Linked DNA regions of Oreochromis niloticus. The protein of the gene in region 1 purifies or fractionates together with the protein of each later gene. This does not show direct contact. Links are inferred from orthologs where the notes say so. Each region holds a gene or a part of one and is shown on either strand. Other genes may lie near its edges. The genes, in order: hdr, cflara and ripk1l.

What was found.
Region 2: the proteins of hdr (region 1) and cflara purify together in Homo sapiens (affinity purification with western blotting, with the first as the bait; 5 studies listed by BioGRID). This does not show direct contact. The link is inferred for Oreochromis niloticus from reciprocal best matches to the Homo sapiens genes TNFRSF10B and CFLAR.
Region 3: the proteins of hdr (region 1) and ripk1l purify together in Homo sapiens (affinity purification with western blotting, with the first as the bait; 3 studies listed by BioGRID). This does not show direct contact. The link is inferred for Oreochromis niloticus from reciprocal best matches to the Homo sapiens genes TNFRSF10B and RIPK1.

Annotation. Positions count from the first base shown.
Region 1 is NC_031977.2:5,218,680-5,226,508, reverse strand, and holds the start of hdr (tumor necrosis factor receptor superfamily member 10B), read right to left. Parts: upstream 3,050-7,829; 5' UTR 2,905-3,049; coding exon 2,881-2,904; intron 1,153-2,880; coding exon 999-1,152; intron 855-998; coding exon 726-854; intron 601-725; coding exon 489-600; intron 253-488; coding exon 161-252; intron 1-160. UniProt on the Homo sapiens protein: Receptor for the cytotoxic ligand TNFSF10/TRAIL. The adapter molecule FADD recruits caspase-8 to the activated receptor.
Region 2 is NC_031987.2:13,979,943-13,987,165, forward strand, and holds the start of cflara (CASP8 and FADD-like apoptosis regulator a), read right to left. Parts: upstream 3,106-7,223; 5' UTR 2,866-3,105; intron 2,771-2,865; 5' UTR 2,711-2,770; coding exon 2,424-2,710; intron 2,342-2,423; coding exon 2,236-2,341; intron 2,091-2,235; coding exon 1,955-2,090; intron 260-1,954; coding exon 204-259; intron 109-203; coding exon 84-108; intron 1-83. UniProt on the Homo sapiens protein: Apoptosis regulator protein which may function as a crucial link between cell survival and cell death pathways in mammalian cells. Acts as an inhibitor of TNFRSF6 mediated apoptosis.
Region 3 is NC_031982.2:17,766,174-17,773,591, forward strand, and holds the start of ripk1l (receptor-interacting serine/threonine-protein kinase 1), read right to left. Parts: upstream 3,087-7,418; 5' UTR 2,929-3,086; intron 2,650-2,928; 5' UTR 2,648-2,649; coding exon 2,487-2,647; intron 1,513-2,486; coding exon 1,356-1,512; intron 1,212-1,355; coding exon 1,074-1,211; intron 993-1,073; coding exon 761-992; intron 649-760; coding exon 499-648; intron 1-498. Other genes in the region: dusp22b (dual specificity protein phosphatase 22-B), read left to right, coding at 5,745-5,765, 6,183-6,216, 6,347-6,429, 7,316-7,365. UniProt on the Homo sapiens protein: Serine-threonine kinase which is a key regulator of TNF-mediated apoptosis, necroptosis and inflammatory pathways.

The DNA.
Region 1 (7,829 bases):
GCCATTTACAGAAAAAAAGAGATTCATGATTTGAATCAATGTACAGTGCGATTGAATCTCTGATATCATTTGTTTTTGGCCTGGAAAATCTGACTTTGTAAATATACATTTATCCCAGTGTAACAAAAGTCTTGCATGCATCTGCCACAGAGTAGGGTACCTGGATCAGAGCCAGATTTGTTCTGGATCTTCTTGCACTCTGTGTTTGTGGTTGATGTGCAGTTTCTCACTTTCTCTTCATCCTCTGCACACCTAGTTAGGAGAGAAGCAAAATGGATTGAAAGGTTTAAAGACCTAAATGTCAGTCTTCTTCCCGCTGCTCCCTTTAGGAGTCAGCACAGTGGACAATCTGCATCTAGCATCATCTTCTGTCACACCAACCCTCTTACTCTGGCAGCTCCACATTCAACACCCAGTATATCCACCATCCACTCCCTCCTTATGCTTATTGTGTCTTTACTGATTTTGAATGGCTTGCAGACACTTACCTTGAACACTTCAAGCACACCTCACATGCTTGGTTAGGATCACAAAATCTCCCTGGTTTGCACTGACATTTAGTATCTTCAGTGTGAGTGCATGAGCTTACAATTTCCTCATCTGAGAGAGTAACATGAAAGAGACCTTAAGTCAGAGTTTATGCTCGGAGCACGCCGACTACAAGAACAATCAATAGTGAACCTTTTCATTCTGATCGATGGTGTAAAGCCGCCAAGCAGAATTACCTGGACGACACCGTGTGCACTTCAAGCAGAACCTTAGTTCGTTGTCATGCTTGATGTATGTATCGTAATCACACTCCTCACACTGCCCCCTCTCTCCATCTACAGTGCAGGGTGACTTCACATATGTACCTAGAGCACACGCACACATACACACTTTATACATCTCCTTCAACTGAACATGTGACTCTAGCTAAATAATAAGGCCGTTTCATGTGGCTTTTGATGGCTTACTGGTTTGAAATTATTACAGAAGTTCAGTTTCACAAGACTTACCAGCTTTACAATTCAAACAACAGAGGTTGCCGTTTCGGTACTGATTTGCTGGGCAGTTGGCCTGCCGCCGTGCTCTGCTGCTTCCCACCTTAAGACCAGCCTGTGGGTATGCTGTGGTGGATTTGAGGAGAAGGACCAGGACAGGCACAAAAACCTTTGGATTTGGATGCGGGGTTTAAAAATAATAATAAAAAATAAATGGAAGTCAGAGTGGTGAATAAACAGTTTTTTTAAAAGAGTCCCTAAGTAGGCAGGTGGGGTGATCTTTGGTTACATTAAGGTACCAAAACTAGTTACGATCTGACAAGAATGGGAAACTGGGATAAAACATGGTGACTTATGAGCAAAAACCTGCTTTGTTATAGTCATGAAACTACCTTCTTAATTAAAAATATCAAGTACACAGCTTTCATCTTTTTCCATGTTTCAACTTAATGTACTCAATTTGAAATCTCTTAAAGAACTCATTTTATGAGTTTTACAGAAACATAATCTCTGATTATATGTTTTGGTTAACTGAAAACATTTTCACTGCTAACATAAAGAAAAAGTATATAAGTCATTATTCTGTGGAAGCTTCCTTGTATGATGATGTGAGTCAGATTAGACCACATTTCAGAACACGCCACTTCACTCTGAAAGCAAATAAACAAGTCAGTGCTGCGCAGGTGGGTGGGGGAGAAGGGGGATTTCCTTCCAACACTCCTTGGACTAAGCCTGTTGGATTCAGTATTAAGAAAGTGTACCAAAGTATCCGAGCTGATTTATGAACTTCTTAATATTGAGCAACAGGGGAAACGTGATCCACAAACAGTGTGTCCTAATATGGCCAACACCTTGATAGGTTGCAGGAATAACCAAATAAGGAAATCACACCCATGATTTCGTAACACCATCAGGTGCCCTAGTTACTGAGAGATCACAAGTGAGGGCATCTCCCAGCAGGCATGGAGAGAAAGACAAACACTCACCTGTGTGTGAAAGTGCCTGTTATAAGAATTTTAATCCCCCTGCCTTCACTGGAAAGTAGAAATGGCGTGCTTAAGCATATTTAACAGTACTTTGGAAAAGAAGAAAAAAGAAAGAAAAAACCTAAAGCGACCTTGTTTATACACAAAGACATACAGAAGAGTTTAATTAAAAAACAAAAAAAAGTTTATATTTCCAATACGTGCTTCTACTCGGCGACCCACTCTATAAAGTAGCACTTTAAGTCGATGGAAGTCATCTCTGACGTAATGCAAACCATCATTTCCATCGCTTTATGCACATAAACATATTAGAGGATATTTAATCAAAATAAATCTTTTAGGCAGCTCAAAATCAAGCCAAAAGCTAGAAAAAAAAAAAGCCTCAAACAATCGACTAGTTTCACTGCAGTGTCTCAGGTGGAGAAAACAGAAATGACGTGACTTTTTGGTGAGCCCACGAGGAATTTCACACCTGTTCACACAGCGCCGGGTGAGACTTTTGACACATAAATGCGACATCTTGCGCAAACCAGTTAACCGGAAAATTGCCAGAGGTCTTTTCTATTTAATTTACAGTCAACGGGAGGCTAAACTTTGTTTCGACAACCCGTGACAATTCTGGTCACTTCGATTCTCAATAAACAAATCAAAACAACAACAACAAAACTTTAAAGTTTACATAATTAACTTTTCATTAAGTTAATAGCTTAACATAAATATTAGAATCCCCCGCGGTTGTCGCGAAACATTAAAAACACTCTTTTATTACTTTGAGGGCTCTCCATTTTTAAAAATGAGTCACAAGGAAGCTGTTTACAGAATCTTCCCGCTGACTGACTGACGCCGGTACAACACCGGCCCGTGAAACCACAGCAAGCTTTGTAGATGTTTATAAAGACAACAGGACTTACCACAAACATAAGAATGTACTTCATCTTCTACTAAAAATGTCGGCTTCCACAGACTTTCAATTATTCCACTGTAACTCAGAGCAAATCGATTTAGATTTACCACCGTAGCGTCCTGTAGGCTACTCTCTCAAAAGTTTAACTCAGGTGTGAGCCGACTCTGAATAAATGACGTAGCTGATAGGCGGGGCCAAAGTACAAAGCAGCCCCAGACGTCTTCAGCTCTCAAACAGGAGGCGAAAAAAAACAGCCCCACTGATGCAACTCCAAGCGGCCACACAAGAAGTAATTATAATAAATGTGTATTTTTTTTATTAGTATAATTCAAATCATCTTCAACTGCAACGTTATCAATAATTATCAATAATTATTAGCGAGCATTGTAGATGATATAGAAGATTTTGTACTGACCCCCAGCTGACGTCACCTGTGCCATCTCAGTGCTAAGTTTCTGGAAGAGCAGCTGGCTGTTTAGGTTTAGAGTAAGGCTGGGATTAAAGGTTGGCGTTAAAATGCCCCGCGGACAAACGTCTCCCCGTCGGCGGCTCAGAACAAATATTGACCAGAGTGCTTCACAAACCGATAAGGCGCCTATTTAAATTTAAAAAACACAATTCAGTCTCATTAAGCCCCCGGGATAGAAAAACAAAAAAAAACAAAAAACCAAGAATTAACACTGGACTTTTTCCTCAAGCTATTACGGTTATTACAATTTCGCATATTTGGGCTATTAACCCTGCCCCCTCCTCTTTTCTCGGTCTTCTTTTTCTTCTTTTTCAGGTATAAATTCATTTAAATGAAATTATTAAAATGTACCGTGGTTGCAAGCAGACACTGCTTTCATGTAAGAGGCCTTATGACTGATTACTGAGAATACTAATTTAATATATGGTGAAATTATTTTATTAAAGAATGCTTTTAATCTCAGCTTCTGTTAACTATATATTTTGGGAATATTTTCTTTGAATGCAGTAGTATAAAATAACACGCAATGGCAAATTATTATCAGTACAACTTCAAAAATGCTGTGCTTTTGCTCAGGGGTTAAGCAAACATAGCTTTCCATCTCTGGGTGTGAGCATTTGTGCTGAAAACAGTTTTAAAGTTGAGGTGAGGAAACAAACAAACAAAAACAGTTTCATGCAGAGTAAATCATGACTAAACTCACAAATACTGCACATGATTCACATGAGGAAACACAGGTGTAGTTTGTGGCTACAGCTTATCACAGTAGCAACATACGTGGTGCCAAAGCTACAGAGAAATGAGATAAAATGAGCTGCCTGAATCCTGAAAACAACATGTATTTTTTTTTTACAGTAATATTAAAGGTATAGGTGATGAACAGTTTGTAGAATGTAAAATGTAAGAATATGTTTAGGCCTACAGTGGAATGCAATGTTTTTATCTGAAGGATCTGAGTGCGTGAAAGTCTAAACATTTGCTTCTCCTATACCAAACTGAGCTTTTGCCTATTTTAAACATAAAATGTTGGATCTGACCTTGTGTATGATCGCTTTCACTCTGAATGAGCTCAGCATTCAAACATTCAAATTGCTGCTGTATTGCAAAGTGAATAACAGTTCCAAGAGGTTCCTCTCTCGGCTGTTAGCCCCTCACGGGATAATGGGGGAAAACAGACTATTGTACAAAGGCTTTCATCACAAACTGCATGAAGTCAGCCATCACCACAGTGTTTAGCAAACCTCATGCTTGGGAGTGCCAGTTTAGCATTATCTAATGAGCAGTTGTCTGCAGCGCGCAGATATGCAGGCCGACAGGAAGCAGTGGGCTGTGGATGTGGAGAGGAATAAAACCTCCGTTTCAGTCTGTTGATTGCGATGCTCTGAGATGGTGCTGAAATGGTCTCACAGTTTTAGGCAGCCTGTTTCCAGGCTCAGAGATTGGGTGACTGATGGCTTCACAGGCTGCCAGGCACACTGAGAAATAGAGACCAGTCACTCTACAAGTTTCCTGCGCGTTGCAGCTCATCGACATCTTTTTTACCTATTTTATTTGCCCAATCATTCAGAGTCTGCTCCATTTCTGAATTTCTGCACCGTTTCCCCTCACACGCTGCTGCAAACTTGTGTTTTTTGATGATAAGGCCCGGGAGGTGGCTGGAATCTCTGAGCCACGTTTTCCGAGATAAGACATGAATTTTGCATTCAGACAGACCGTACAGGGTTCTGCTCATCGGCTGGGCCGAGGTCGAGATCAATTCTAATGATATGGAAAAATATATATATACTTTTCTTCTGTTACAGAGCCTATGTGTATACTGAGAGGGAGGTTAGGGGATCTTTCTGACACACAGTGCAAGAGGAGAGAGTGAACTGAAGACCTACATGAACTTGCTTTTTCATAGAGGAATTAGACAAAGCTTATCCAAAGACAGAGTGAACCTGCACACTGGTGAATAAGCAAAAGAAGTGCAACTAGAAGTTGTTAAATGTTAAAATTCCAACATTAGGTTTAAAGACTGACAAGAAATGGGTTGAATAAAGGATGATCTTTTATGCAAATGATGGATACAGATAATGGATACATATATTCCTGAAAAATGTTGCACTTTAATTTGTTTCTATTCCCTAGGAGCTTGTGTGGATGTTTAGTTCACAAATTTATTCTACGATGGAAGTTCAGAGGAAAGCAAGTCTTCCCTCTCAGTTATGCCCCGTCGATGCTTGCACAGTTACATGCTGTCCAGTACAATAGATCTATCGGCTCTGAGCAGCTCCACTGGAGCAGCTCAGAGTTAAGGGTCTAACTCGGGGGCACCAAAGTGGTGGTTAGGAAGGATGGGAAAGCACTGCTCTTTATTTTCGCCACAATGGAAGGGAGGTAAAGGTGTTCATATAGATCTAAATGGCCATGGCCATAGTGTGAGTATAGGAACAACAGTGGAAAGGTGGCCAGATTCAGAGGGCCATGAGCTTCACGAGAGCACTAACAATATCCACTCTAGTGTGATTGTAGAGTACCCAGACTGGGTCAGATGTGAAGGGCAGCAGCAGAAGGTTGACCAGTGACATTATCTAATAAAGGGAGACACTGAGGGGAAATCAAAGTTACATCAGAACTGACTCTGTGCCCCTTCTTGTTCACAGTAGAGATGGACAGATTGACAGATGAGATCAGACACGAGTCTCCGTGGACTACAATGCAGCTGACATTGTGATCTGTAGTGAGAGCAGGGAGCAGGTGAAAGAGAATCTGGACAGGTGGAGGTATGCACTGGAGCGAAGATTAATGAAATTCAACAGAAGCAAGACAGAATACGTGTGTGAGTGAGAGAAAGACAGGTGAAGGAGCAGGAGTAAAGATAGTGAAGGTAGACGAGTTTTAATACCTGGGGTCAACCGTCCAAAGCAACAGACAGTGCACAAGAGGGTGGAGTGGGTGGAGACGAGTGTCAGGGATGATTTGTGACGGAAGGATAGCAGCAAGAATGGAAAGAAAGGTAGATCGCATTGAGACATGCTATGGTGTATGGTTTGCATATGGTTACACTGACAAAAAGACAGGAGGTGAAGCTGGAGGTGGAAAAGTTGAACATCTTAAGGTTTTCACTGGAAGTGATTAGAATGGACAAGATTAGAAATGAGTGTATCAGAGGGACAGAGTGTGATGGAGGCAGATGATCCACTGTGGCGACCCTCTAAATGAGCAACTGTTCTCATTAGATTTGACTGGTAATTCCATACATGCAGTTCTTATTTGACTTTAGATAATACGTCAAAATGACTGCCTAAATTTGTACTTGGTGGCAAGACTTACTTCCAGATGGACTTTGGTCAGAGCCGGGGGTGTAGATGGCCTAAAAGCGTATTTCATTGAGTTTGCACTATGATTCAGCCAGTTACTAGGGGAAGTCTATTCATGGCTTTGTTCCCGCATGGCTCAAGGTCTCCATCTGGAACATTCTGTCAGCACACTAGTTCCTCTCTATTGACTGCATCACATGCACGTGTGCTGTATTAATGTGGGGTAATACACATATGCTGTTTCAATCTAAACAAACAAACACCTTCAGGGATACCATTGCTGGAACATATTCATGGTGTTGCAAGTAAGAGACTTGATTGGATAGTTTCAGAAACTATCCATGTTTAACATGTGACTAAAATCCAACCTAACCCCAAATCAAATCCTAAATTAAGAGGTTAACATTCATAATAATCTAAAAGCCTCCGGATGTTTCGTGGTAGACACTATAGGCTAAATAGGTTGCAATCTTGAACTAGTATACAGTTATAGCGTTTTTAAAAAGCATACACAAAAGGGAATCCCTGTGAGGTCCAAGTCATCGCTGATGATCCTGATGCTAATCATAACCCATGATATCGGAATATTTATTTGTTTTTTAAGACTGTGCTTCACGGTCTTGGCAATCAGGTGACAAAGAAATTGATCATTCTAAATGAGATACATCAAAACTGTTTCCATTTTTTCCAATAAAGAAATTAAAAAACAAAGTTTAGAGTTAGGGTTTTGAGGCAGGGTTAACATGGCCTCAAACCTAAGATGTGCTATATTTCCACAGGGAGTATCTCATAATAAGCTATGCTGATGGCCGCCTGGGACACCGGGCCCATTCATCTGCTGAGCTCACAAGTGGGTTTGTCTATTGACATAAATGACAATAACCTAGCTGGCCACATTGCTAATGTTAGCAGTTAGAGCAGGATTGCACAATTCAGTGGGCCAATTGCCTCACAGCCAGGAGCAGGAGAAGCAATCAATGCTCTTATGAATGTTTTGTTAGTCTTACTGATTCACTTAGAGACATTTGAACTTACTTATCTGTTTCGTTGTTGTAATGATGCATGTCACAGACAGTATACAATGCTGCCTTTTTTGAAAGTGTATTTATGGGTGTTCCGCCACATTTTACACAGTTTGCATGAGAGGATGTTTCATCATGCCTCACTTAATCAGACTTGTAATAC
Region 2 (7,223 bases), on another chromosome or scaffold:
TATGTGTCTCATGGGGATGAAAAGGTATTTTGATTACAAATATAGTCTTAGGCTACACATCTGTGGTATTTTGCTAGTCTTACCCATGCAGCGTTCTTGTGTAACATGCTGTAGAGGAAAAGAAAGAGGAGATATTTTTATGGCTTTAGTGGAGAAAACATTATGGGAAATGTGAACTAACATCTGTAAAGTGTCTCACTCACAGAAATTCTACGGGGTTGCTGCAGAGACAAATTTCGCTGCTGTTCAGGTGCCCTAGCTGTAAAAGACAGGCAAATATACATACATAATGTCTCTGTGTTTGCTGTTCTATTGTTGTCCTTGTTTAAAGAAAAAATATCCTATTACATTTGAAACATACCAACACATTAAATAAACAGCATTAAATTAGTACTGAAAATTGTATCTACCCTAAAGGGAAAGGTCTCAATGAATCCATGTGATGTCTTAAGTACGATTACCCTGAACTTCACTTTATAGTGGACTAAATAAGCAAGGCGGGCTCATGGTTGCAGGGGTTAAATAAAACTGAAATGCATTTTGATGTCATTTTTTTATGATCATAATCTTTTAACTTTTGCTTCAAAGTTGCTGAACATCATGACAGAGCACAGCCACAAAAAAAGTCCATCCATCCATTCATTTTCTTAGCTGTTTATCCAGTTTAGGGTCTCAGGTGCCAGTCCCAGGTGAACAAGGGCCAAAGGTAGGCTAAATTCAGGACAGGTTGTCACAAACTGAAAAATGTGTTTACCTTTAATACTGAGTTTTTGGTAAGGAAAATGTAATAAACTTCCAATTCTTTGCTTACTACACTCACCAGCCACATTATTAGGTACATCTTGCTAATACTGGGTAGAATGCCTTTTTGCCTTCAGAACTGCCTCCATTCTTCTCAACGGCATAAATTCAACAAGGTGCTGGAAACATTCCTCAGAGATTTTGGTCCATGTCAGCTTGATAGCGTCACGCATTTGCTGCTAAACATCAATGTGGAAAATCTCCCGTTCCACCACATCCCAGAGGTGCTCTATCAGATTGCGATCTGGTGACTGTGGGGGCCATTTGCAGTGAACTCATCGTCATGTTTCAAGAAACCAGGATGAGACGATGCGAGCTTTGTCATGTGGCGCGTTATCCTGTTGGAAGCAGCCATCAGAAGATGGGCACACTGAGATCATAAAGGGATGGACATGATCAGCAACAATACTCAGGTAGACTGTAGTGCTAAACAATACTAAGGGGGGCAATAAAATATCTCCCACACCATTACACCACCAACAACAACAGTGTGAATCATTAACGCAAAGCAGAATGGATCCAAATCTATGCTTTTTTCGTTGTTTAAGCCAAATTCTGACCCTACCATCTGAACCATCAGAAAGTGAAACTCGGCAGACCCAACCACATTTTTCTGATCGTCTGACGTCCAGTTTTGGTGAACCCATGGAAATCACCTGGTGTGGTCTGCTGCTGTTGCCCATCTCCTTCAAGCTTCAACGTGTTGCGCATTCAGAGATGCTCATCTGGGTACCTTGGTTGTAACGAGTAGTTATTTGGGTTACTGTTGCCTTCCTATCAGCTTGAAGCAGTCTGACCCTTATCCTCTGACCTCTGACATCAACATGGCATTTTCGCCCACTGGATAAGTTCTTGTTTTTGTACCATTTTCTGTAAACCCTAGAGATGGTGACGTGGGAAAATCCAAGTAGATCAGCAGTTTCTGAAATACTGAGATAGATATTTGCATTAATTGTGAGTGATTGTGAGTATCAATAGTTTCGGGTATGCTATACTGACGAGGAACATAAAACTTAAACCAGTTCTGTGTAACTAGTAGGGAAGTGTTTCCCACTTCTCACTGCAAAACTGTTACAAACCTTTCTCATGGAGATACTATTTTAAGCCCTTCAGTATATAAAGGGAAAAGGGAAACACAGAAACACAGTCTAACCTGAATTCTTGTAAGTGGTCAGTTTTTTGACTAGATCAATCCTGCCAATGTTTCTCAAGCACTCCTCTACGACGTCAAGTCTTTCTGGTGAGACTGAATCCAGCTTTTCAAGTTCAACAATAATATCCAGGAAACTCTGTAACACAAAGGGGGGGGGTCCCATCATTGACTGCAGCATGGTTTGTTACGGTAATAATAAATCCCCACCCACATACATTTCAGAATGAGTGAAAACAAAATCATGCCTCATTCATTCTGGGGTTTTTTGTGTGTTTTCTTACCTTTGTCTTCTCAAGCTTTTCACGAGATAATTTGCAAGTTAACAGGAATTTAATACTGTCCAAATCTCCGGTGTCCAGCTCCTCACTTAATTCTGCCATCAATACTCTGCATTAAGTGGAACAAACACTGTTAACTTCAATTCTTCAAATCTTTAGGATTAATCAGCTCATCTTAAAGGATGTCTTACCTGAAACTTGGGACCATTTGTCTGGTCCTCTCCAAGTCATCCCTGCTGACTTTACACACCTTCCTTAGGATATCCAAACGCCCCAAACAAAACATGAGCTGTGCCAGAAACAGGTGAGCGTTTTGATGGTGCGTCACTTTTGATCTGAGCATCTCCTTCATACAAGCCACACTGTGGTCCGTGTCCAAGCTTTCACATAGATAGAAGAGCCTACTGCGTTCATTGCTGCTGAGAGCTTCCGCGATTTCATTTATAGCATGTAGCTGAAATTGTTCCGGAACAGCCATGTGGAATTTGGTAAAACTTTAAGAGGTGATGAGTCCAGAATAAAGAATTGTAGTCAAAGCCTGTGGGTCACAATAATCGCCATGTTAAGATCCACAAAAAGTCGTGAAAATATAATAACCCATCACTAATAGACGAAATTATAGAGAGAACTTACCGAAAAGAGTCCTGCAACAAACACGTAGCAAAGCAGAAGAAGGGAAACTATAGAAGTGACGCACCACTTAAAAACCCGAGGGAGGGGATTTACCAAATACTTCCCAACGTAAAATGAAACCAGCGAGGATCCGCTTAACAAAGAAAACTTAACCGGATGAATACCATATAAGTTCTGTCCTTTTACAAAAACTGCGCAATGGCACAACCGAAAGGGAAAGCAAAGAAAAATGGCAGCCGATAGACCACACCCACAAATGAAGTCATGGCACAAGCACGAGCGGTGAAGAGCCTCACCTCCAGGACCTTCCAAGAAAATATACTGTCTGCAGATTTTTTTAAAAAGCACTGAAAAATATGGAATAATCAAGACACTAATATGGTTCATAAAGAACCCAGGTCATCAGTTACAAAATTAGATCTAAATGCGGTGAGGGTGTTTTCAGTTAAGGTTGACTTCTGCGAAAAGTTTACAGTCTAACTTATGACAATTGTCAGCTGCAACCTTCCACACGCCACTCAATCGTTGTCGGCTGCATCGACCCCAACGTAGGGTTACATGTCTTGGGAGGTGCACCTCATGTTAATTAGAAGGTTGCTGCGAAGGGTTAAAGGAAATTTCGAGGTTACGTTGTAAGTTATGATGCAGATTTCCTGCGGAAGTCTAAATCAGGCATAACTGTGGTGCTGAGGTCAGTTACATCTCTGTCTAATCCAAAAACAGACTCAAAACCTTGTTTTTTCTCACAGGCCTAAATTTAACTGTGTAAAATGTGTAAAATGTAACTGTGTTTAACTCTCTGTAAAGTGTTTTTTGCTTCTATGTTAAGCATTTTGATTTTTACATAGAATTAAATGTGCTATATAAATGAATTTGTCAATGCAATAGATTCTTTTTATTTTTGTTTTATTGTTTGTTTGTTTGTTTGTTTGTTTTTACCAGAGAGAAAATAATTTTCTCATACAAGTTGGAAAAAAGATAAATGTATCACTTAAGTGGATCATAATTTGCAATAACCTGACTTTTTCCCTCAGCAAAGAATCTTTTTGCCCATCATGTATAAAACCAGCTACAGTATATTTTCTTTTAAAAAGAGCGGGGCTTTGTAGTTTGAACACCTATGACTGCATTTTACACAACAAAGTGACATTAGTTCATTCTTTGGATTTTGTGTTTATCATGCTGTGTCATGCTGGGATAGTCGTGTGCTGAGAGATTTGAGCCTCACGTTAAACGCTGAACCACTAAAGATGATAATCCTGCTTCTCTGCCTGTAAGATCTCTCGAGGTTCAACCAGAAGCCTCACTAAACTCTGTGAAAATAAAGTCTTTAGAAACAGCTTCCTGTCCAACACCTTTCACCCACTGAGTGTTGCAGCAAGGGGTAGGTGGACCCTCTCCTCTTCGGTCATACTGTGGAACAAAACAGTCATGCTTGCCCTGTTGCACAGAAGCAAATCTATGTCAGAGGCAAATCTGCTGTAATAAGTCCCTTTATTATTCATACATCATCTGGTACAATTATGTTTAAATTGTAACAATTTAAACTTAATTTAATGTAATCTAAATGATTCTTTATTAAAAATTAAACAGCAAAGCTCTGAATATTTGTTTAAGTTATGTATTTGCTATGCTGGTTTTATTACATTTATCAAGCTGTTTTTGTTCTGATTTCACAATAGTCTTACCTTCTCTAGATATATGCTTTGTCATGCTGTATTGTTTTACTGAGCTGCATACCATTCAGCTATTTAAGATATCACATCTCATATGTTTGTTGGGTTTAAGTTTTAACTGCTGTAACAACGGGATAATAAAGTCTTATCTTAATCTTTTTATCTTTTCTTTCTTAAACAGATTCAGTGGCTTATAATGGGTTTCAGACTGTGGAGGGATAATCATACATATTTTTAAAATTATTTTAACAGCTATTTGTGGCAATATGAGCGTGTTAAACCATTGCAACTTTTCCAATGGACTTGAACGCACCACTGCTACTCCCCCTGCAGGCCGCCGGAGATTTATCAAAGCTCACTGAGTTCCGCTCAGCCTGGCCAATCGTGTCTCGCTGTGCCTCAGCACCATCATTGCAGTGTGGAGAGATCATACGGAGGTACTGCTGGCGGAGAGAGGGACCATTTGAAGAAGGGAAGATACACGACCCGGGTGACCGCTCTGACCAAACACCGTTCCCGGTTCCCCAAAACAGCCACTGTGTAGCATCACTATAACCAGCTTCAGTCTGAGTGAGTATTTAATTTACTATTACAAGAGGAAGGATTTTCCAGGTAGTCGCAGACCGGGGCTGCTGCTGCTGCTGCTGCTGCTGCTGAGTTGGAACATCACAGCACAGTTGTTGTGTTGATGTGGATGTAAACCCGCGGCAAGGAGGCTTCAACGTCTGCGGGGTGTCTTTTAGGAAAAGGACCACACAGCAGATTGCTCTGGGCTGGAGCCAGGCTGGCAGCAGTCAGCCGCCCCGGCCTGGTCACGACTGATGGAAAAACGAGGATGTCCAACAGCTGCTGACTGTAACAGGCGTGCTAACGGCATTCGAGCCGAGCTAAGGTAGCTAACGTTGGCGTACAGGTTCAGGCTTCGTGGCAGTGTCGGAGCAACCGTTTGCTAGCAGTTAACTACCTGGCTAACATAGCTGCGTGACCGTTAGGACTGCACGATGTCTTCAGTGTTTAAGGTTAAACAGTGATTGTGTTGTGACATTACACCACCAACTACATGTATCCACCGCAATTTATACAAACACGTAGCTGAATTTGACAATACGTTGCAGCACATTTTTAACAAACGGTTTTATTTTGAAATTGATGTAAAAAACAAAAAAACAAGCGGAAGTCCCAGGTTTAAAACTCTCGACTGCATTTATAACTTTTTTTTAGTCGGATTCATTGCTTCAGAGTAAATAACCCATGTGTAGAAACACACTAGAATGGCCAGTCTGTTTGTGTGTGTGTGTTTTAAGCCCTTATACCATAATAACTTTAAACTTGCAGCAGCTTCAAGGTGATTTCAGGTCCCGTCATAGATGCATTCCTATAGTTTTATGCTGGAATGGCTTAGGTATGAACAAATAACTTAAACAATGCTGTGCTAATTCACCTAATGCATGCCTCTGCTGCTCGATCAATTAATCAGTCAATAAGTTAATCAAACTTTATTGATATACCATCATTCGTGGAGGTTAGGGCTGTTCAAGCTGCTTAATAGATGACTGATAAGCTGATCATGAGGAACAATTACTGAAACTAAAGTAAGGCTGGATTAAAAAAAAAGAAAAGGAAAAACAAACAAACAAAAATAATACTTAATAAACTGTACTTGGACCGAGCTTTGTATCACTCCAGATAAGTAGTTTCTAAATTGGGTGCTGAGGTCTATTTGTTTGCTTTGAGCCAAGTGCCTTGGGATTGCGTGTCAACCAAGCAGTATTAGTGTAACTGCACTTACATTAAATAATAACATTTAAATATGCTTTATTAATACACATTAAATGACTATCATTGAGGTGTGTGTGTGTGGGGGGGGGGGGTCCTGATTGATAGTGGGATAACTAATGCAATCCACTTGAAAACCCATAAAACCTGCTTTAAAACACCACAGGTTATGAATTGGAGGTGGTGGAGGTTTTTCAAAGTGATCATCAAGCTAAGCCTGTTTGCATCTTTCTTTTTACATTCCTTCTTCCATACTGACATTTTGCTGTGGCTCAACACAGCAAACAATAAATTAAAAGGATACTGCTTGGAGTGATATTGGTCTAGGCTGATAAGCCACCATTACACTAATGGCATAATGAGCAAAGGTGTGGAGCTCAAGATCTAGATAATTCCAAGCCATCTGCTGCTCATCCTCAGCCTTCATCCTCCTCTCTCCTCCTCCTCCCTTGCTGTATTTCCACCACCATGTGTTTTGGGACTAGGCTATCATCAGAGCTGCGGCCTATTTTAGACAGAAACTCCAGTTACCCACTTAATCTGTGTCTCATTTCTCCAGGAGTTGGGTTTCATGTGCTGCTCAGTGAAGTAAATGGTAACCTTGTCGGTGACTTTGGATCATATTGTGAAGCTGGTGGATTTGCTCGATGAAGGATTGTGTGCTCATAAAACTATTGGCTGATGGTTTAAGGACTGTTATGACCTTTGTATTAATATAGTGTATGTGAGATTTGACAGCACAATGGTTCCACCTCTGCACCGAATGCGAGTAAACTGAGACATCTTTGAGCCAAAACAAGTTTTGCCATACCGGTATTGAGCCCAGTAGTGTGTTGCCTCCTTCCCACCCACCAACAGTGATGCACACGCTTAGGGGATCAAAGCTGTAATTAGCCTGCCATGGAT
Region 3 (7,418 bases), on another chromosome or scaffold:
CTACGGGAATTTTCATACCCGCCCAACTCAAAGATTTACATAAGAACATGATCTAAAAAAGAGAAAATATTGTTATTGTATTGTATACTATTGATACTAGACCTCAGAGGACAATGGGCAGACTGCTTTGAGCTGACAGGAAGGCAACAATTACTCAACAGCAAGAGTAATTCACATAACCACTCATTACAGAAGAGCATCTCATCTGAATGCGCAACAAGTCGAGTCTTGTGGCAGATGTGTTAGAGCAGCATAAGACCACAGACAGAGTTCACTGCACTCAAACTGCCAGATCTGTCAGACAGAGCATTTGTTGGATGTGGTGGAACAGGAGATTTGCATCTTGGATGTGCTGCTGACAGATCTGCAGCAACTGTGTGATCCTATCGTGTTGATATGGACCAAAATTTCTGGGAAATGTACCTAATGAAATGGCTGATGAGTGTACGTGGTTCCATCAATGAGTGCTATTTTGCTTAAAATACACAAAAAGGAAACCTTTAAAAGTCGGTCGTTCCTGAGGATTGTGATCCCAGCATCTTTTCATGAGCTGAATTATTTCAGAAGGCGTGTCCTCTGGAATAAGATCCTCTGCCGGTCGGTCACCGTTACGAACACACTGGCTGATTTGGTCTTCACTCCTGGCATCTGGGCATAAAAAGATGCTTTTTTTAAATGGCTGCAATGACATGCTGTAAGAGGATATGCTGCATCTGGTAATCTTTGGCAAACTTTGGCATGTCATGACATCACAGCTCACTTGCATATGGCTCTTCCCCTGTGAGAATGACCCACACCACGATGGCAAAACTGTACACGTCAGACTTCTCAGTGGAGGGATTATGAATACTCTCCAGGTGCTCCGGGGCCATGTAGCTCAGTGTGCCAGCTCCTCTCACACCAGTCGATTGCCTCATACGGCTCTTCCTTCGAGATTCCTCCTTGGTGAGTTTACTCCACGTTTGGCAGGTGGCCAGACCAAGATCTGCAATCTACAAGAAATCCTTCACCATGACTGTGAATGCCAGCAGACAGAATCCTACATGTGTCATGACCCAGAGAGTGTAATGTACCTTGATGTGAAAATCCTTGTCCACTAAGATGTTTTCCGGCTTGATGTCCTTGTGTATGACATTCTTTTCTGTGAGGTACATCATTCCCTCCAAAATCTCTAAGATGATTCTTCCCTTGATAGATACTGGCACACTGACCTGAAGAACAGAGAGATTATAGTGTAATAATGCTTCAGTTCATGATAAACTGACAAAAGTGGAACTCTTTAAGGTTACACGCTATAGATGAAAACCACAAAAGCTGTGTTTATTACAGGTATTTATTGATTTAAGCCTACTAACGGTCTCCAGCATGTCCAGTAGGTTGCCTCTGGGGATGAGTTCCATGACAAGAGAGCAATCTCGATCCTCCATAATCACACCCAGCAACTTGACCACTCGCTCGTGGTTCAGGCTCGCCATGATCTTTCCCTCCTCCAGTAGTGATTTTTTACTCTCCCTGGAAAGTTTGTTAAATGTAATAAGAGAAAGCTTTTGCATAGTAAAAGGGACAATGTGAGCATATTCTTACCGACTTCAATAACCCAATTCTGATATTTATGCATGTGTGGGCGTGCAGTAACAGATAAGTAAGAAATATAGTCTTTAATTCTGTCTTTCTGTTACCATTTATAATCATACAGACAAGCCAGAGCAGTGATTCTGTTTCTAGTGCTACAAAAATCAATATATCATTTTATACTGATAAGGATTAAGATAAAGACAACATTTTTAAAAAATGTGTAAAAAAAAAAAATTGGGTATTTGGTGGAGCTGATTGAAAGTACTGAGGCAAGACTTTGGATTGGCATGTGCCTCACAGTGCATCTGAGATACAAACAATAAGCTGAGAGGTCAAACAAAGTAAAAGTATCAGCAACATTTTTTTATAATCACTGTTAATATTTTGTATTTATAAATACATAAATACAATTATAAATACATTTTGCATTTATTTATATTCAGACTGTTAAGGGGACAACGCACTACATTTGAAATGTTGTCTCAAAAAATAAAAAGTGAACAGATATTCTTCACAACTTTTAAACAACTAAATAGTCAATAATTAATAGAATAATTAATTCATATATGCGGATATAAAAAACGGATGCTGGACTTCATCGGCATTGAGCTGAATCAACCTGTCTCTATTTCCTTGTGCAAAAAGGAAGTGGTTGGACTTAATACCAAGGTAGTGTCCCTTTTCACAGCACACTACCTTGGTATAGACAACCGTAATAACGAGTACATTCATTTACATCCGTGTGTATTCATTTGTGTTATTATACTTTCTGCACGCTCTAAAAGTGTCTCGCTTGGTTGCGTGGAAAACTTCGCGGGACACATGATTCAAGTTATCATTGGACGAAGGGGAATACCCTTGGGTAGCACATGCAGTAACACATTACAACAACTACAACAACAACAACTTACTCGTTGCGCAGACGTCCAGTGTACATAGTCTTTAACACCACCTGTCCCAGCGTCACATGATAACATAAGTAAACTTCTCCAAAACCTCCGTAATCCAGGGGTTCTTTTATAATGAGATCCGTCGACCTCATGTGAAGTGAGTACTCAGGCGCGGTGGCCATCCCTGGGAAGAATTCACAGTGTCACATCGGAAAAACCAAAAAACCTACAGCTCAAACAAAGCCGTAACAAAGCGCACAGGACACAGGTTAATGACTGAATCGGCTAATCAACCATCCGTAACAATCACAACACTGTCACAGAGGTCAGCTAACAGCACAGGCTATCCCAAAGTGTCGGCATCTTTAACTGACTTCACTTCCATAACTAAATTAATTACTCGGGAAACAAAAGTGTAGGGGGAACACCCCCATTCACTTCCAGTATCAAACAAAACAGTTACCGAAAATGTGCTGGAAAAGTCCAAGTAAAGCAGTTTATTTCTATTTCCGGGATTTCCTCGACGACCTACTTCAAAAGTGAAACGCGCAAGATAAAAAAAAAAAAAACTACAAACAGGCTTATAAATCGATGACAGAAACAATCCAGGGCTGCTAGTAGATTCAGGTATGTACTGTCGGAGATGCCTTTAACACAAAGCAGAAATACGGGATAAAAAACTTATAAATCTTTGTGCGTTTACTTGTCTTATCTGTTGTGTTCACATTGTTTTTTTGTTTTGTTTTTTGAGCAACATTCTGCAATTTCTGCCAATGGCTGTAAATCATTGAGTATGACGTTGGCGCCACCTAGTGGTGAAACTGTTAGCAGGGGAGGCCTGTTCATATTTCATGATGGTGACACAGTTGAATCGTTCTAGCTGGATCTAAACGGCAGCTGTCATAAGAGGGGAAAAAACGTTCTCATCGAATTAAAAAATTAAGATGTAAGCTAAGCTAAGTTAAGATGAGGACTTTGACGTTTTCTTTTGTTTGTTTGCTTCTGTTTTTTAAAGTAATAACAAAAAAATCCAAAAAACAAGTTAATATGATGGAGTAATTAAAATGACGCACTGACTGAAAAAAAACCCAAGTTCATTGATAAATTGAACATTTATGCGAAACTAGAGCGGGAAACCACCTGAATTGTAGCCACTGACAATGTGGGCGATGTACTACAAGTAGGCCTACATTTTGGGCAGCCTATCTGTGAACGCCCACACTATAAATTCCTCCTTTTGCACACCAAAGCCACATCAAAGCAGTATCATATTTACCTGGCTCATATTGTCTCCATTTTATTGGCTTGCAAGTTTTTTTCTTCTACTTTTTTTCTGTTAATTACATTTATTGGTGGTAACCTTCAGGTTATATAGCAGTTGATGAGAAATGGAGTGCTCTTACCAACAATTAAAAGACAAAAACCAAACTGGTGAGTGAAATTACTGAATTCAAGCTTAAATTCCACCTACTTATGACTGCTTGGAGATTCACATAGATGACCTTGTTTAGTGGCACAGTATCGGGGCAGCGTCCTCATTCAGTTTTGGCAGTTTACAAATGGGTCTAGGTCCATTAGTGTGTTGACTATCTGTATAAACTCAAGTTACTTTATGGCAAAACTACAAGAAGTGATACAAATATCTAATGTTGTCTCTTGCCCAGTTTTCTTGTGAATCCAAGTAACATTTTAGATTGATTGATTACTATTAGAGTACATTCACCAGTGTGCAGAGCTCTTAAAAGCAATAAAACTAGGGGAAAAGTATACATACCCTCATGCATAAACCGGATGGGTGGACTGATAACCAGCTTGCATTACTCTGTGTAGTAAGTGCATCACATCTCTGTCGCAGATGCTTTCCTCCCATTCAAGCTGTAGAGTAGAGGCTGGCGGTCACAAGCTGCCCCACATAGCAAAACAACGCATTACCAGGAAGTTAAGTGAACTGGTGTCTGCGGTGTAAATGTGCTGTCAATGTTGGGCAGTGGGTAGCAGCACTTCCTGTTGATGTCTTTATCACAGTAATTATCAGTAGAGATCTGACATATGCCATCATTTCTCTGTAATAGCAGCACTGTAGAGTCCCGTACTTGTCGTTGGTTTCTCAGTGCCTCCTTTAGCAGTCACACTCTATTTCTGTTCAGACTGGTTAACTGCCAGAATGCATCTAGTTGATTATGTCTGCAGCATAGATTAAAGTTGTTGTTTTTTCTAACAAAACGTGCCTTCATATGTTGTTTGGAAAATCATTTGGATAAGCCTCTGGAAAGAGCCTTTCCAGAGGTGTCACAATAAAAGTTGTGTTGTTGGTGGAGAGGGCATCCACACTGGCTGGTCTGTAGGAGGGGAAACAGTACATAAATAAATCAGTAAATATTTTATAACTCACTTTGTTGCAAACAGTGGTTTTTGCTGTGTTTTCAATCTATTTTAGTTATTTCAACCTGTTAGATAAAAGGAATAAAGTCAAGGTTCTCTTGGTTGAGGGTGATAAGACACATTCAGCTTGCAGATCTGTTTCCTGTTTTCTCCTGCTTGAAAAGCCTTTCCACAGGTGCCATCATTTTGCTGGTGGTGGTGATGGCATCCAGACTGGGTCGTCTGTATGGAACAGAACAAACAAACCTGTGAATACTTTGTGTTTTGCTTTTTTAGAAACAGCTATCTTCAGTGTTATTGCACTGTGTTATTATTATGACATCAAAGGAAATAAAGTCAGGTATTTTGTGAGGTTTTGGTTGAAGGTGAGAAGATCCATTCTGTACTTGACTCATAGCCTTGTTTCCTGTTTGTCCTGGCTGCAAAGCATCAAAAAGGCTGTGTTGTTATTGTTGTGTGTGTATATATATATATATATATATATATATATATATATATGTATACATTTTGTGACTGCCTTTATTATTAACAAGAGAGACAAAACCAAATTACTTTTTAATGTCATTTTTTTCATGCAACATGATCGATATTGATTAAATTACTGAGCCTTTCGTTGATCTCTTTAATTATATTTTTTATGTGGGGCTGTTTAACTCCTCCACACACATCTACTACAGGTCTGCAACGCCCTTTGCGTTAGGAAACTACAGCTCCCAGCATCCACCTCGGGAACCTCGGGCAGCAGTGCTCGGCTCGCTCGCACGCAGACCAACTGCGTTTGCTCCCCTTCAGCCGGTTTGGGAAGGCATCGAGACGCCGGATACGCGTTTTCCAGCACCGAGGCTGCGGCGTGGGGCATTTCTTTCAACTCTTCTCCAGTGAGGCGGGTCTTTCAGCATGGGTAATGGCATCAATAAGGTACGATTATCCTCTCTTCCGTGCTCCTCAGGTTGGAGTTGTTGTGTGAGTGGTCCTCAGTGTTTTAAGGAAATGTGTTTATCATTTTAGGATATTTCATAGAATAAAAAGTTTGGTTGCTCGTTAACTTTGCAGTATTAGGAAATGTAGTATAGCTGTTAGAATACTTAATCATTGCCTAGTTCAGTGATCAAACTTGAATTATTTTGGCATAGTTATTATTATTTTTTTAGTTATTATCATTTAGTGGCTGAATATGTATCTATTCAGATCGTCAAAGGACACCGTTTGTAATTATACCTTCATATTGCCAGGGTTTCATTTATCTTTATAGCTGATTGGTCTTTAATCAGTTTGCACCACCTCAGTATCAATGATTACTTTTGATATAGCAATCAGTATTCTTTTTCCTTATAGGTCCTTCCTGATTTATACCTGGGAAATTTCAAAGGTGTGTCTCATTTTCTCTTTATTATTATTATTATTATTGTTATTGTTATTATTATTAGTATTGATTGACTTCTTATATGTGTGCAGATATAATAACGCTGTTCGACTGTGCTGTTATGTGTTTCTGTCAGATGCAAGGGACAGAGAACAGTTAGCCAGAAACAACATTACACACATCCTGTCCATTCATGACAGTGCAGCTCCTATCCTCCAGGTGAGAAGCTCTCTTTGTCTTATAATGTCTCAGCACCCAGGTGAATCATAGAGGTACACATATTGAATTTCTAATAAATTTTTAAGTAGAGTCATCAAGCAAACAAGCGGAGCAGATTGATTGGCTGAGAGCAGTCAGACACCCTCCACAGTCGACCCGGTCTGTCAGGTTGTTCAGGAAGCACTGTGTATCAGTGGCTCTTTTCCTTGAGCAAACAGCTCTCGTTTCCGTGCGAGTAAAACATACACAGGGGACTTTTTTTTACTCATGTGATTCTTTAGAGTATCATGTAAAATGCCAGTCAACAGCAGTTGGTTTATCAGTGTGCTGAGTTGTGTGCCTGCGTGGGTTTCAGAGTAGGCGGTTGTTCTTGTCTCAACCAGCTCGGACTATGCAGTCTCTCTTCATTATTATTTTTTTCTGGATTATTAATTTTGACGCTTTAACATGTAGAGACACCCCCCACCCTGCCAATGGTACCTCCTGAACAGCAGGGATAGAGAGCACAAACCATTTACAAAGAGAGAAATGCAACAGAGAGCCCGCGGTCGGTCTTGTCCTGGTTTCTAAACTTCCAAGATCGGGATAAGTTGGAAGAAACCTGATAGCCTGAGGTTGCCGCAGGACACCAAAGAGGTCCCCCGTCCATGACCTGACAGCTCAGAGCTAATTTAATGGGACAACAGAACAATTAGGCTGGCGTTTTTAGTATAGTGGCTAATCAGCTTTAGTTACACAGCCTGCCCTCACCATAAGCAACACACATCGTGAATCACTGAGTGTGTTGGTGTGATGGTGACATTTATTATATTCTTCATTCTGTTAGCTGATCTGTGTTAAATATTTAGGAGAACGTGACATTTGACTAGTATACTCTGTCCACCAGGAGATGACCTATCTCTGCATTTCAGCAGCTGACCTTCCCACACAAAACCTGTAAGTACCAAATTGTGCAGCACAGCAGCGCGGCACAGAACAATGAAAAGCTG